Coturnix japonica: one gene and its partners. The protein of the gene in region 1 interacts with the protein of each later gene in a pairwise test. Links are inferred from orthologs where the notes say so. Each region holds a gene or a part of one and is shown in the gene's direction. Other genes may lie near its edges. The genes, in order: PPP1CC, SH3RF2 and AATK.

Evidence for each region.
Region 2: the proteins of PPP1CC (region 1) and SH3RF2 interact in a two-hybrid assay, tested with the Homo sapiens proteins (2 studies listed by BioGRID and IntAct). The link is inferred for Coturnix japonica from reciprocal best matches to the Homo sapiens genes PPP1CC and SH3RF2.
Region 3: the proteins of PPP1CC (region 1) and AATK interact in binary tests that used the Homo sapiens proteins (3 or more experiments, as listed by UniProt). The link is inferred for Coturnix japonica from reciprocal best matches to the Homo sapiens genes PPP1CC and AATK.

The regions. Positions count from the first base shown.
Region 1 is NC_029530.1:5,191,237-5,194,983, reverse strand, and holds the start of PPP1CC (serine/threonine-protein phosphatase PP1-gamma catalytic subunit), read left to right. Parts: upstream 1-1,118; 5' UTR 1,119-1,358; coding exon 1,359-1,413; intron 1,414-3,747. UniProt on the Homo sapiens protein: Protein phosphatase that associates with over 200 regulatory proteins to form highly specific holoenzymes which dephosphorylate hundreds of biological targets.
Region 2 is NC_029528.1:470,460-474,106, reverse strand, and holds part of SH3RF2 (E3 ubiquitin-protein ligase SH3RF2), read left to right. Parts: intron 1-723; coding exon 724-821; intron 822-1,516; coding exon 1,517-1,698; intron 1,699-2,791; coding exon 2,792-3,135; intron 3,136-3,647. UniProt on the Homo sapiens protein: Has E3 ubiquitin-protein ligase activity. Acts as an anti-apoptotic regulator of the JNK pathway by ubiquitinating and promoting the degradation of SH3RF1, a scaffold protein that is required for pro-apoptotic JNK activation.
Region 3 is NC_029533.1:5,066,336-5,069,982, reverse strand, and holds part of AATK (serine/threonine-protein kinase LMTK1), read left to right. Parts: intron 1-1,433; coding exon 1,434-1,567; intron 1,568-2,281; coding exon 2,282-2,423; intron 2,424-2,982; exon of another isoform or gene 2,983-2,997; coding exon of another isoform or gene 2,998-3,235; intron 3,236-3,305; coding exon 3,306-3,385; intron 3,386-3,543; coding exon 3,544-3,647. UniProt on the Homo sapiens protein: May be involved in neuronal differentiation.

The DNA.
Region 1 (3,747 bases):
CAGCCTTGTGGCTTTGTCCATCTGCTCTTCAGTCTGACCAACGACTGTTACAACCCACAAACTCTGCAAGGTCTGAAATGTGGGGGTAAGCAAAATAGTTCAGACACCAGAGGCAAAAAAGCAGACATCAAAAGTTGATCTGGACTGTAGCAGGCTGATATCCAGACACACGCAGCAGGAGTTAGGAAAACACTGAGCATCTAGATAGGAAAAACAACATTTGACCCTCACATCACACCTCCTTTGTTTTCCCAGTGTTGAACAGTCTGTGTAGGTCTTTGAAATGTACACAGACACACTGAGTTGAACAGACCTAGGAAATATGTAATGTGAAGCAAGGGGAAGCGTGGGCAACTTGCATTTCTTAGGATCCACCTACATACAGGAATTAAATAAGGAGCTTTTCATCACTAGCTGCATATATATACATGTGTATGTGTGTATGCACAGGGTATGTACGTACATTATACATGCAGTATGTGTGTGGTTTGGGTATTATGTATATGTATGTACAGGTGAATGAAATGTTCTTTATTTCAATACTGACTGTAGGTGGGCATTACGTATATAATACTTATGTTTTTATACATGGCCAGATTATGAGCAGCTGTACAATAAACCACATCCTTCGTGCCCTCACAGTGTGAACTCTGCTCTCTGCAATGGTGGTTATGTAACCATCGATGTGAGGTGTGTGTGCAGCTGCTGTGGGGAGGAGGGATGGAGATGCTAGGCCAGGAGTTAATGAAGCAATTAAACAACATTCAGAGATGCAACTTGAATGTCCTGAGTGGTGAATGTGCCTTGAAACTCAACACAACGCCTCGCCTCATGCAGGAGGGTGCCACGATGGGGCGTGCAGACACAGCACCATGGGGTGAGGGTCCAGGACCACAGGATCAGGCTCCAGTGGTCACAGCGGTGGGATCTCGGTGGTGTCCGCCTTGTTTGGGGTCCAGGAGGCGGTGTTATATGGGCAGAACACACACCCCTCGTGGGCACTATTTCTCCACCCTTCGGCGGAAGGATCCCGACACCAGCCGCAGTGCGCACTTCGCTCCGCCGCGCGCTTCCCGCCCGCCTATAAAAGGGTTCGTGCGCCGCCTTGCGCTCGTGGTATCCATCCGCTCCCCCGAGCTCGCTGAGGAGACGGCCGCCATTTTGTTCCGCGCCGGAGCTGCGCTGAGAGCGGCAGAGAAAGAGGGAGGGCGGGGGGGAAGAAAGAGAGCGGGTAGGAGAAAGGACACGGGGAGAGCACGACGAGACGACGAGAGAGGAGAGGAGCCGGGTCAGCCGAGCAGCCAGCGGAGGGAGGGAGGGAAGCGGCGGGGAGGGGTCCGCCTGGCCGCTGAGAGGCGATGGCGGATATAGACAAGCTGAACATCGACAGCATCATCCAACGGCTGCTGGAGGGTGAGGGGCGAGGGGAGGGGACGGGGGTCGGGATGGGGTGGTCGGGACGGGGCCGCGTGTGGAGCCGGCACTGGGGGTGGGGGGGGCTGTGCTTTGTCCTCAGCCCACAGAGCAATGAGTGCCCTGAGGAATGAAAGGGAGACACGGCGGGGTTGGGGCAGGATGGTTTGTTAAGGGAACTGAGCGGTTTTCTAAAGGATTTGAGGAAAAAGAGGGTTATTTTTGGGGTGAGCTGCCCTGATCCGGCCTCGTTCCTTGTTGTGTCTCAGGGCGGGCACCTCGCGCTTGAGGAGCTTCATGGGGTTTAACGTGTTTCCATCCGGCTCCGAGTCATGTAGGTGCTGATGAGACGAACGGGAAATGGCTTTCAGCAGTGCCGTGGTTTTTCAGCGAGAGGACGGCGGTGCTGCTGGAACCACAGGGACTGAAAATCCGATGGGTGTATTATGGGATTACTGAGCTAGAATAAGTAAAAGTAAATAGGGCTTTTGCTGTGATCCGTTGCGGGCTGTGCCTGTTACCAATTTAAACTACCCCGGCTTAAATTATTTAAAGGCTTCCCTTTGTAAATTTAGACCAGGATTTTCCTGAAACTCTAGTAGCACACTTTGTGCTGTCGGGTCCTGTATGTCTTACATCTGCCGACATTAATAAGCGTTCACTTTTACTGCAGGTAATAGTTTATAATTCTTACCTGGTCTGCTCTAATGTAACTAATGCAGTTTTCCCGGATCAGGTCATTACAAACAATGAATAGGATGGAGCAGAAGGAAATGCAGTTGGTTTTGAACAATTCTTCTTGTTTTAAAGTTTAAAAAGGGGCAAGATGTGCTACACCAATAGGTTCTTACCCAGCTTGTACCCGTGTTACACATATAGAGGGGATGGGAGTTGGTCATTCAGGGCTTTCAGACTGACACAGAGGTGGATGTGTACCATTAAAGATGGTAAAGATCCTAAAGATCCCATTACTGGAGGTTGCATCAGCTGCCAAGACTGAAATTAAATGTTTTGGCTTTATTGATGTTTCATTTGGGATTTTGGATCCTATGAAGCCGTAATGGTTTTTCAGTGTTTAAAATGATTACCACCTGTGCTGATATGCATCTTTATTGCGTATTAAATGCCTGTTGTAAACATTTCTCTCAGGCAGTGATGGTTGACCTTTGTGGCAGCCTTTTCTTTTTCCACTTCTCCAAAGGACAAAGTGATGCTGTGTTTTAGCAGGTGCTGCGTTGTGGATAGATGGATAAATGGTGTGAGTAGCTGTGAGCATCGTTCTCTGTGGTTGTTTAAAATCTGACTCAGCCTTGCCCTGGAATTACGAAGGTACAGTTAGGTTGGTGGTGGGACTGAACTTCTACAGGGCAGATCTACATGGTGTTAAGTGGGGAAGGGGGGGAAATCAGGTCTGGAGTATGTGCAGGGTTTGTCATCCTATTTAATTTGGAATAAATGAGGAATAATTTCTGTCTTACCTGGCATTCTTTTCAGTGTAGTGCTGGCACACAACTGGATGCAGTTAGTGCCTTGAAGCCTGATGGATGTGTTTCAATTGATAGGCTTTCAAACAAGGTGGCACTCAGGTTGTTGCAATTGCAGTCAAGTATTTCAGTGTTGTTGTTCTTAAAATGTATACTTACCTAAAATATATAATTGTACTATTAAAATCAAAGGATATGAGCAGCTAATATGGCATTATCCCTTCTTCCTTTTAAAGGTCAGGGGAAAAAAGATGCATTCTGGAGATAGGTGATGAAATACTCAAATCAGTGTGAGCAGACAGTTGTGCCTGTGTCCTATAAGGCACCTTAGTGCTGTGCTGGGTGTAGTCTGATGGCCTAGGTAAAGCAAAGTGCTTAAATGGTTAATCATAATTATTCTTGCTTTTGTTCCTAATGTAGGGCATCAATAATTGATTTGTCATTGGGTTTTTATGTGCTTTCTATCATGACTTCATGAAATTTGAGGTAATTATACAGATCAAGTGACTTCCCTCCAAGTAGCTGATACAGTCTCACCTGCCATAGGGTAGATAGCTAATTATTAAATCAGTCTTTAAAAAAATCTAGATATATTTATATATTCAGCTTCTTAATCTGAAGTGAATATTTGGTGAGTCCTTCTTGCTCCCAATGTTTGTAGCATAGAGGTGTTAGGCTTTGAGGCATCACAAAAAGCCTTTCTCAGTAACATTGTGCTCAGCCTCAGTGAGCAGGTTGATGGAAGCACTGGGCAAACTAATGAGGGCTGTGTTCTGTTAGGAACAGTTTGTCTGGTTTGGGGGCTTTTAGTAACTTTCCTAACAACAGTTTTCTCAAGAATAAGGCTTTT
Region 2 (3,647 bases), on another chromosome or scaffold:
TATTAGGCCCTCTTTTATGTGAGAGGAAATGAAGCCCTACAATAGAACCATAATTCAATTGAATCGGTACCGTGTCTCATGACCCCAATATAATTTTACCCAAAGTGTCTCGGTGTGAGCTATTGTCAACAGCATAAACCGCAGCACCGATGATGTGCTGCCTGGTCAGGTTTCCTTCCTTCTGAACAACCATTTTTCTCCTGCAGACTCACAGGGATCTTTGTGCTGGGCTGGTTGGTGTGTGAGCACAGAGCGCAGTGAAGCACAGCCACTGCACTGGGGTGGTGCTGGTGGGGGAGCACAGAAACACAACAGAAGGGGCAGCAGTTGCAGAAGGGGAGCGGAGGCTCTGGGAGCGGTGTGGAGCAGTGACAGGAGGTGATGCTGTCCTGGTGCCATTTATCCTGGGCTGCACTGCTGGACACACACACAGCAACCAGCCAGGACAGCTCAGGACATTCACATTCAATTGTTTTGCTCCTGCAATTTGTAAGATTTGTTTTCAAGAGTAAGGGCAGGTCCATGTTCCTTAGCAAAACCTGTGCTGATTGAATGACCTTGCACCTCATTTGCTGGATCTGTCTGCAACAAAATGAGGTTCTGTGTCTCGTTTTCATCTTTTTGGAAGCATGGGTGAGGCCTGTCCAGTGATTTCAATGGCTTCTCCAGTGGCAAAAATAAGCCCCTCTTCACATTAATATACTGCATTCTGTTTTCTCTCAGCAGGTCAGTGCATCCTACTATCCTGCTCCAGGATCACTGAGGCACTCGGCAGCCATTGTCACTCTGCCCCACCTGCAGCATCACCTCTCAGCCAACATGTGAGTCATGCGAATCGTGCTGAGGGTCACACAGCACTCCACATCTCCCCCATCCCCAGCCCAGCAGCTCCCTGGGCTCCTGCCTGCAGGAGGGGCATTGGGGTGCAGGGCTGTGCACCTTGGGCTGGGGACATGCATGGGTGTCCGCAGTTCTGAGCAGGAGCTGCAGGGACTGCTGGGGCAGCTGATCCCAAACGTAGTTGTAGGGTTATGGAAAAATTTAGGTACAGTGCTGGAAAGATTTGAGACAGATTCTGACTGTTCCTGCTGCTGCCACCCAGGCAGAGCACACATCTGCACTACTCATGGTGTGTTGCCTCAGGCCAAGGCTCGTTGGTCCTCCATCCCTTTTGTCAGTGGGCACCTGTATGTTAGGGTAGCACGGCAGCATTCTCCTTGCTCAGTGCCCTTGGCTGGTTACCTGCTGCTTCTGAGACAGACGCTGTGACAAAATCTACAGTTCTTCAGTTCTGCTGGCCCTTCTTTTTCTCATATCCCCTCTGGTCAAACACTGCAGGCAGGTTATTCCCTGCGAGTTATCTCTGCAGTAACAGCAGTGCCCCAGAAGCTGTGCAGGGCCCTCCAAACCCCGTGTTGTGAATGCAGGGCTGGAGGACTTCACTGTGCTGAGCTCCGTCTGCACGCACCGCCGCCTCCCTCCACCACCAGCTGACGTTCTGCTCCTTTGCCAACAGGAAACCCAGCACACCCGACTCGAAGCTGCCCTCGCTGTACGCCTCGTGGACGCTGTCAGCCGCCTCGCTGTCCTCGCAGGGCAGCAACTCAGAGAGCGCTCAGCGACAGAGCCGGGCATTGGAGGCAGCGCTGCCCATGGGGCACACAGCACTGCGGCGCGGCCGCGGCTGCACCAGGAAGAGTGAGTGCAGGGGGACTGTGCTATGGGCTGAGCTATGGGCTGTGTCTGGGATGGATGCAAGGATCCACGAGGTGCTGCCAACATCGAGCAAAGGAAGCAGGAATGGCACTGAGTGCCAGTGTGCCATGGGGAGCAGTGAGCCCTGGTTGAGCAAACAGCACTGGGATGTGCGTTAGTTTTGGTCCTCCAGAGAGAGGTTTGTGGATTGTCACAGAGGACCTCGAGAGCTCCATGTGCAGAGGAAGTTACAGAAGGTTGCATGAGGTATTATCAGGAGTTCTTAAGAAAGAAGCTCAGAACAAAAGGGTAAAACTCAGCAGTGCCATTGTAGGAGTTCTGGTGAGCTCATCTCCTGAATACTTCTCATATTCTGATAACTCCAATAGAGTAAAATTAGAAACGAGCATAGAAAGGATGAGCAACAGAATGGAATAATTTTGTTTCAGGAGCAAAGTTTTACAGCTTAGAAACATCCAAGATACATGAAGTCATGAATAGGCTGCAGGTGGAAAGGTGCACTGAATGTCTGAGCAGCCACAGCACAGTCCCCAGGTTGGGGTGGAGATGGGCAGCGATGCTGGCCGAGGCCCAGCGCATTTGCAAGGGCCACTGCTGGAGGTTTTAGATTCAGCACTGGGTTTATCTTAAAAGCAGTTTTGCTGTAGAGGACCTCACACACCTGTGGTGGCTCTTATTAAAAAATCCATCTTGCAAACAGTGACGCACTGCCAAATAAATAAAGTGCACGACTTCCAGTGTTGCAGCCTGGAGAGCAGCTGCAGATGGAGCAGCCAGTGCAGAGCAACCAATGGCAGCAAACTATAGGGATGAGAGGAGGGCTTGGGTGCAAACTTACAGACATGCTTGGCCAAAAGCATGACTGCAAAGGATGGAGAATAGCAGGTCTGTGGGTGCTGCTTCCCCCATGGCACCTGGGGGGGCTCCATACAGGACAGAGAGGCAGGCAGCACCATGCTGGGCTGGACAGTACTGGGAGTATGTCCTACAGTGCTGTTGGTTCCCGCTGCATGCTGCTGCCCTGTGCTTTCCTGCTGGAACCTCACTAACCAATTTCCCCTACTCTCGCCCCCAGATGGGTCCCTGCAGAGGCCGGCACAGGCAGGGCTGCAGGCTGGCAACTCCCTGCGCCGTGTGCCCACAGCCGGGCTGCAGCCGTACCCACATGATGGCAGCCCGCCCCACAGCAGCCCCGCTGCTGGCACAGCTGAGGTGGGCACGAGGCCCAGCTTCTCCCACGAAGCCCCGCCAGCGCTCACAGTCAGAGGAGGGGAAAGTAGGACTCCATCTGTCTGCAGCTCGGTGATCCTGGACGCCATGGACACACTGGCAAAGAGTGAGTCAGTGCCCCGGCCACCCGCGTCAGCCCCGCCATCCATCCTGGTGAAGCCGGACATGTCCCGTAACAGCAGTGACAAGGTACAGAGTGCTGCCCACGGGCTGATGGGTGCTGCTGGGGTTATCGGTGCTGCTGACTCTGCTGTTGGAATTAAGCCCTTCAGAAAAGCAAAGTGCTGCAGTATGCCTTTCATTGGGAGCCAGTGTTCATCAGTTCAGTGGCAGTGATCAAAATTTGAGGCTTTCTGAGGTCTATGGTGAGGCATGAATCTCACTGAGCTCCCCATAAATCACAGAACCATTAAGGCAGGAAAAGACCTCTAATATCTCTAAATCCAAACCCTACCCACCCCCACTGTTCCCATGGACCATAGAACAGCTTCAGTTGAGAAGGATCCCAAGGATCATTAGAATCAATCCCCACACCACTGGCAGAGCCACCAAACTGCAAACACGTTCCCCCAGTTCTGGAACAACACCAGGGTCAGTGATTCCCCACCCCCTGGACAGTTCACTCCCACATCTGAATGTTCTTTCAGAAAGTAATTTCTCCTTATATCTCGGGTACTGAAAAAGCAAACAGCTGAGCTGGG
Region 3 (3,647 bases), on another chromosome or scaffold:
TCAGCATCTCCGTGCTCTCTGCTTTACCGTTCTGATCTCGCTTGTGGAGTCAGGTGCCACGCTGGGGCTCTGCTGAACGCCACCCTTGCCCCACGGCATGGGGATGGAGCGCGGTGTTGCCTGGCTTGCAGGCAGTGCTGGAGCATCACTGCTCCCCTGGTTCTGGGGCTGGTGCAGCAGCTCCTGTTTTGGGATGCACCGAGCTGGCCATGCTCAGTGTGACCCCGTGGTGAGAGCAGTTTGTTGTGGGGGCAGCACTGGGAGCTGCTGGGGGGTCCAGTGATGGGGGTTGGGGGTGTCACAGTGATGCCGAAAGAGCTGCACGGAGCCCTCAAAGGGTGGGGACACCCCTCCTTGCACCAGCGGTGCTGCAGGTGGGGAAACTGAGACAAAACACGTTGTTTTGGAAATGGGTTCATCCAAAAAGCTCCATTTCCTGCGCCGCGGCCTTGGGCGGCTCAGCTGACAGTCCCTGCTGGAACGGCTTCTGTCGCCACGCTCTGCTCCCATCGGCATTCAAAAGGCTCTTTGCAGTGAGTCATTTTCTCTCTTGCTGTCCCACTATCCAAGGAAAATGGTGACATTCGCTGTACAAAGTGTGTTCACCATGGAAACCGGCTGCAAGCAGCAAGAATGCCACCCCCGGCTCCTCCCCGGTTCGGCTGCGCATCGCTGAGCCTCAGAAGATGGCTCTGGAGCTGCTGCACCACCAGCAGCCGCCGTGTTCCGTGCGGTGCAGAGCCCACGGTGCCCTGTGCCCCCAAACAGGGATCCCCAGCCCTCCTGTCCTTCAGGTGCCCTCCTCAAGGACATGATGGAGTGGGGGCAGAGCTGACTGCACGGTGCTTGGTGTGGTGTTGCACACTGGCACCTGGGGTGGGAGAGGTTTAGGGCTGGTGATGGTGCAGCCCCCATGGTGGTGCATGGTGGTGGTGCTTTGGGAAGGGGGTGCGTGGGTGATGGCACTGTGCCCCAATCCCTTGCTGCAATGGGGAAGGCACAATGTGGTGGCTCTGGGTGCAGCTCTGTGCTGTGTGGGGGCTCACTATGGGCCGGGGGTCTGTGTGCTGCTGTCCCCTCTTGTGGCACCACTGTGGCCGTCCTGCTTCCTTGCACCACAACGCACTGGTTGTTTGAGGAGGCTCTGGGTGGAATAGTAATGTAGCAGCTGCTGCCTGTGATGGGGGCTCGCACTGAGGGGATGTGGTGTGGGATGGCCCTGTGGGGTGGTGGGTGCGGGGATATGGGGTGGAGATGCACGTTGCTGTGCTGGCAGCATCCATGTCCATGAGCCATGTGGGATGTGGGGTGAGGTTTGGGGATACGGTGTGTCCGGTGGTGATAGAGCACAGTGGGGGCACCATGTGAGCAAAGCCCCTGCGTGCAGCACCCCGCAGTGCTGTCCCTTACCCTGCACCCCTATGTCCCCACAGACGGCACCCCCCTTAGTGAGCTCTCCTGGTCCTCCTCGCTGGCTGTCGTGGCTGTTTCCTTCTCCGGGCTTTTCACCTTCATCTTCCTCATGTTGGCCTGCCTGTGCTGCAAGAAGGGAGATATCGGCTTCAAGGTGAGGGCTGGGTACCTATTGTGGGCAGGGGGCTGCAGCCCCCACTGATGTCTCCCCGTGCCATATGACTGCATAGGATGTGCCTGTTGCTCAGTGCGCTGTCTCTTGGGTGGGGGCTCAGCCCCACGCATCACCCCGGGGCCAGGCCACGGCACGGTTAAGGGCAGCGGCGGTCCCACCCTCACGCCCCCGAGGTGGGAGGCACCGTGACCTCACAGGCACAGAATGTGCCGAGAAACAGTTTTCCCTAATTGCTGGGATTTTTGTGGAGGCTCGAGGCGCCCGCGACGGGGAGGGGTCAGGCAGAGGGGACACGCCGGGTCGTTGTATAACCGTCCCACACCGGAGCACCTCGAGCAGGGGAACAATGAGCCCTGTCGTGCCCCCGCGGCAGCTATATAGGGCCGTGGAGCCGCAGCCCGGTGCTGGCAGTGCCCGCGGGGTCGCGCACAGCACCATGAGCGGCGGCTGCGGCGGGGCAGCACCATGCTCACCATCACGTACCTGCTCGCACAGGCGGCTTTCAAGAGCCGGGGGCTGGTGCGGCATCAGTGCCAGGTATGGGGCTGGGGGGCACTGCCAGAGGGGCTCGGTGATGCGCTATGGGGTGCGGGTGGCTGTGCTGCGGGGCGGGCTGCAGGGAGCCCGCAGGGTCAGTTGTCTTTGCTCCTTGTGTGTCCCCCCCGCCGTGCGCTCCCCTCCGCCCCGGCACAGGAGTTTGAGAACACCGACGGGGACGACTACGTGACGGAGTTCTCGGCCCAGGGCTCGCCCGCCCCGCAGCATGGCCCCGAGGTGTACGTCCTGCCCCTCACCGAGGTGTCCCTGCCCATGGCCAAGCAGCCGGGGCGCTCAGGTAAGCTGCATGGGGAGGGGATGGGCACTGTGGGGTCCCCGTGCACCCTGGGGTGGGGTGGAGCCAGGAGGGGTGATCACAGCCCTGTGCTTGGCATAGCTGAAACAGCTTCCGATGGGGCAGCAGGAGGATGAGGTCCCTTGAGCAGCCCTGTCCTTCTGCACGAGGGTGGTTTGTTGCCTTGCGTGGCACCAAGGGGAGCAGTGTGCATCCCTGCTGCCATGTGCTGGGACATGGAATCGCTGAGGCTGGAGGAGAGCATTAAGATCATGTCTAACTGTCAGCCCATCCCCACCATGCCCACTGAACCACACCATAGGGTGCTCTTTCCCATGGCACCCACCAGCCCCAGCCCTGCGTAAACAAGGCAGCGAGTGGGAGAGGAATCTGGGGGGGGCTGCTGTGCCACAGCCCCCTCGCTCCCATTGTTGCTCTCCCCAGCTCAGAGAATAGCAGCAGTGTGGCAGGGCTGGGGCGGCGTGATGCAGCCCAACAATGGCCCCATTGCTGCACCCTTGGCATGGGTGCACGGGGGGCAGGACCTGTGCTGGGAGGGGGCTGGGTGTGTGGCTAAATGCCAGAGCTCCAGCTCAGCTCCATTCTGCTCTCCCCATCCCTGGGGAGGAGAAGCAGCTCCCCACCGCTGTGCTTGGGGACACCCCATGTCCCCACACCGGCACGGCCGCACCAGGATGCTGGGTGGGAAGGATGCAGGGTGTGTGGGGATGGCCCCCCCACTGCTGACAGAACATCCCAGGACGGCGTGGGGTGGCACAGCAGGAAGGACCCCAGGGCTCGGCTGGAATCGGCGGGTAACTCGGGTGGGTTGGGGCTATGGGTGGGCACATGAGCGCACAGGCAGCTGGATGTGCTCTGTTACAGTGCAGCTCCTCAAGTCCGCAGACCTTGGGAGGCAGAGCCTGCTGTACCTGAAGGAGATTGGGCATGGATGGTTTGGCAAGGTGAGCACAGGGCATTGGGGTTTTGGGATACTGGGGCAGGGTGCGTGCAGGATCTGCTCCCTGTGGGGATGTGGGTTGCAGGGGACACTGTGTCCCTCACTGGGAGCAAGGTGCAGTGAGGATGGATAGATGGGGACATGCCTGTCCCTTGCCCCCAGGTGTTCCTGGGGGAGGTGAACTCGGGCATCAGCAGCACGCAGGTGGTGGTGAAGGAGCTGAAGGCCAGCGCCAGCGTGCAGGACCAGATGCAGTTCCTGGAGGA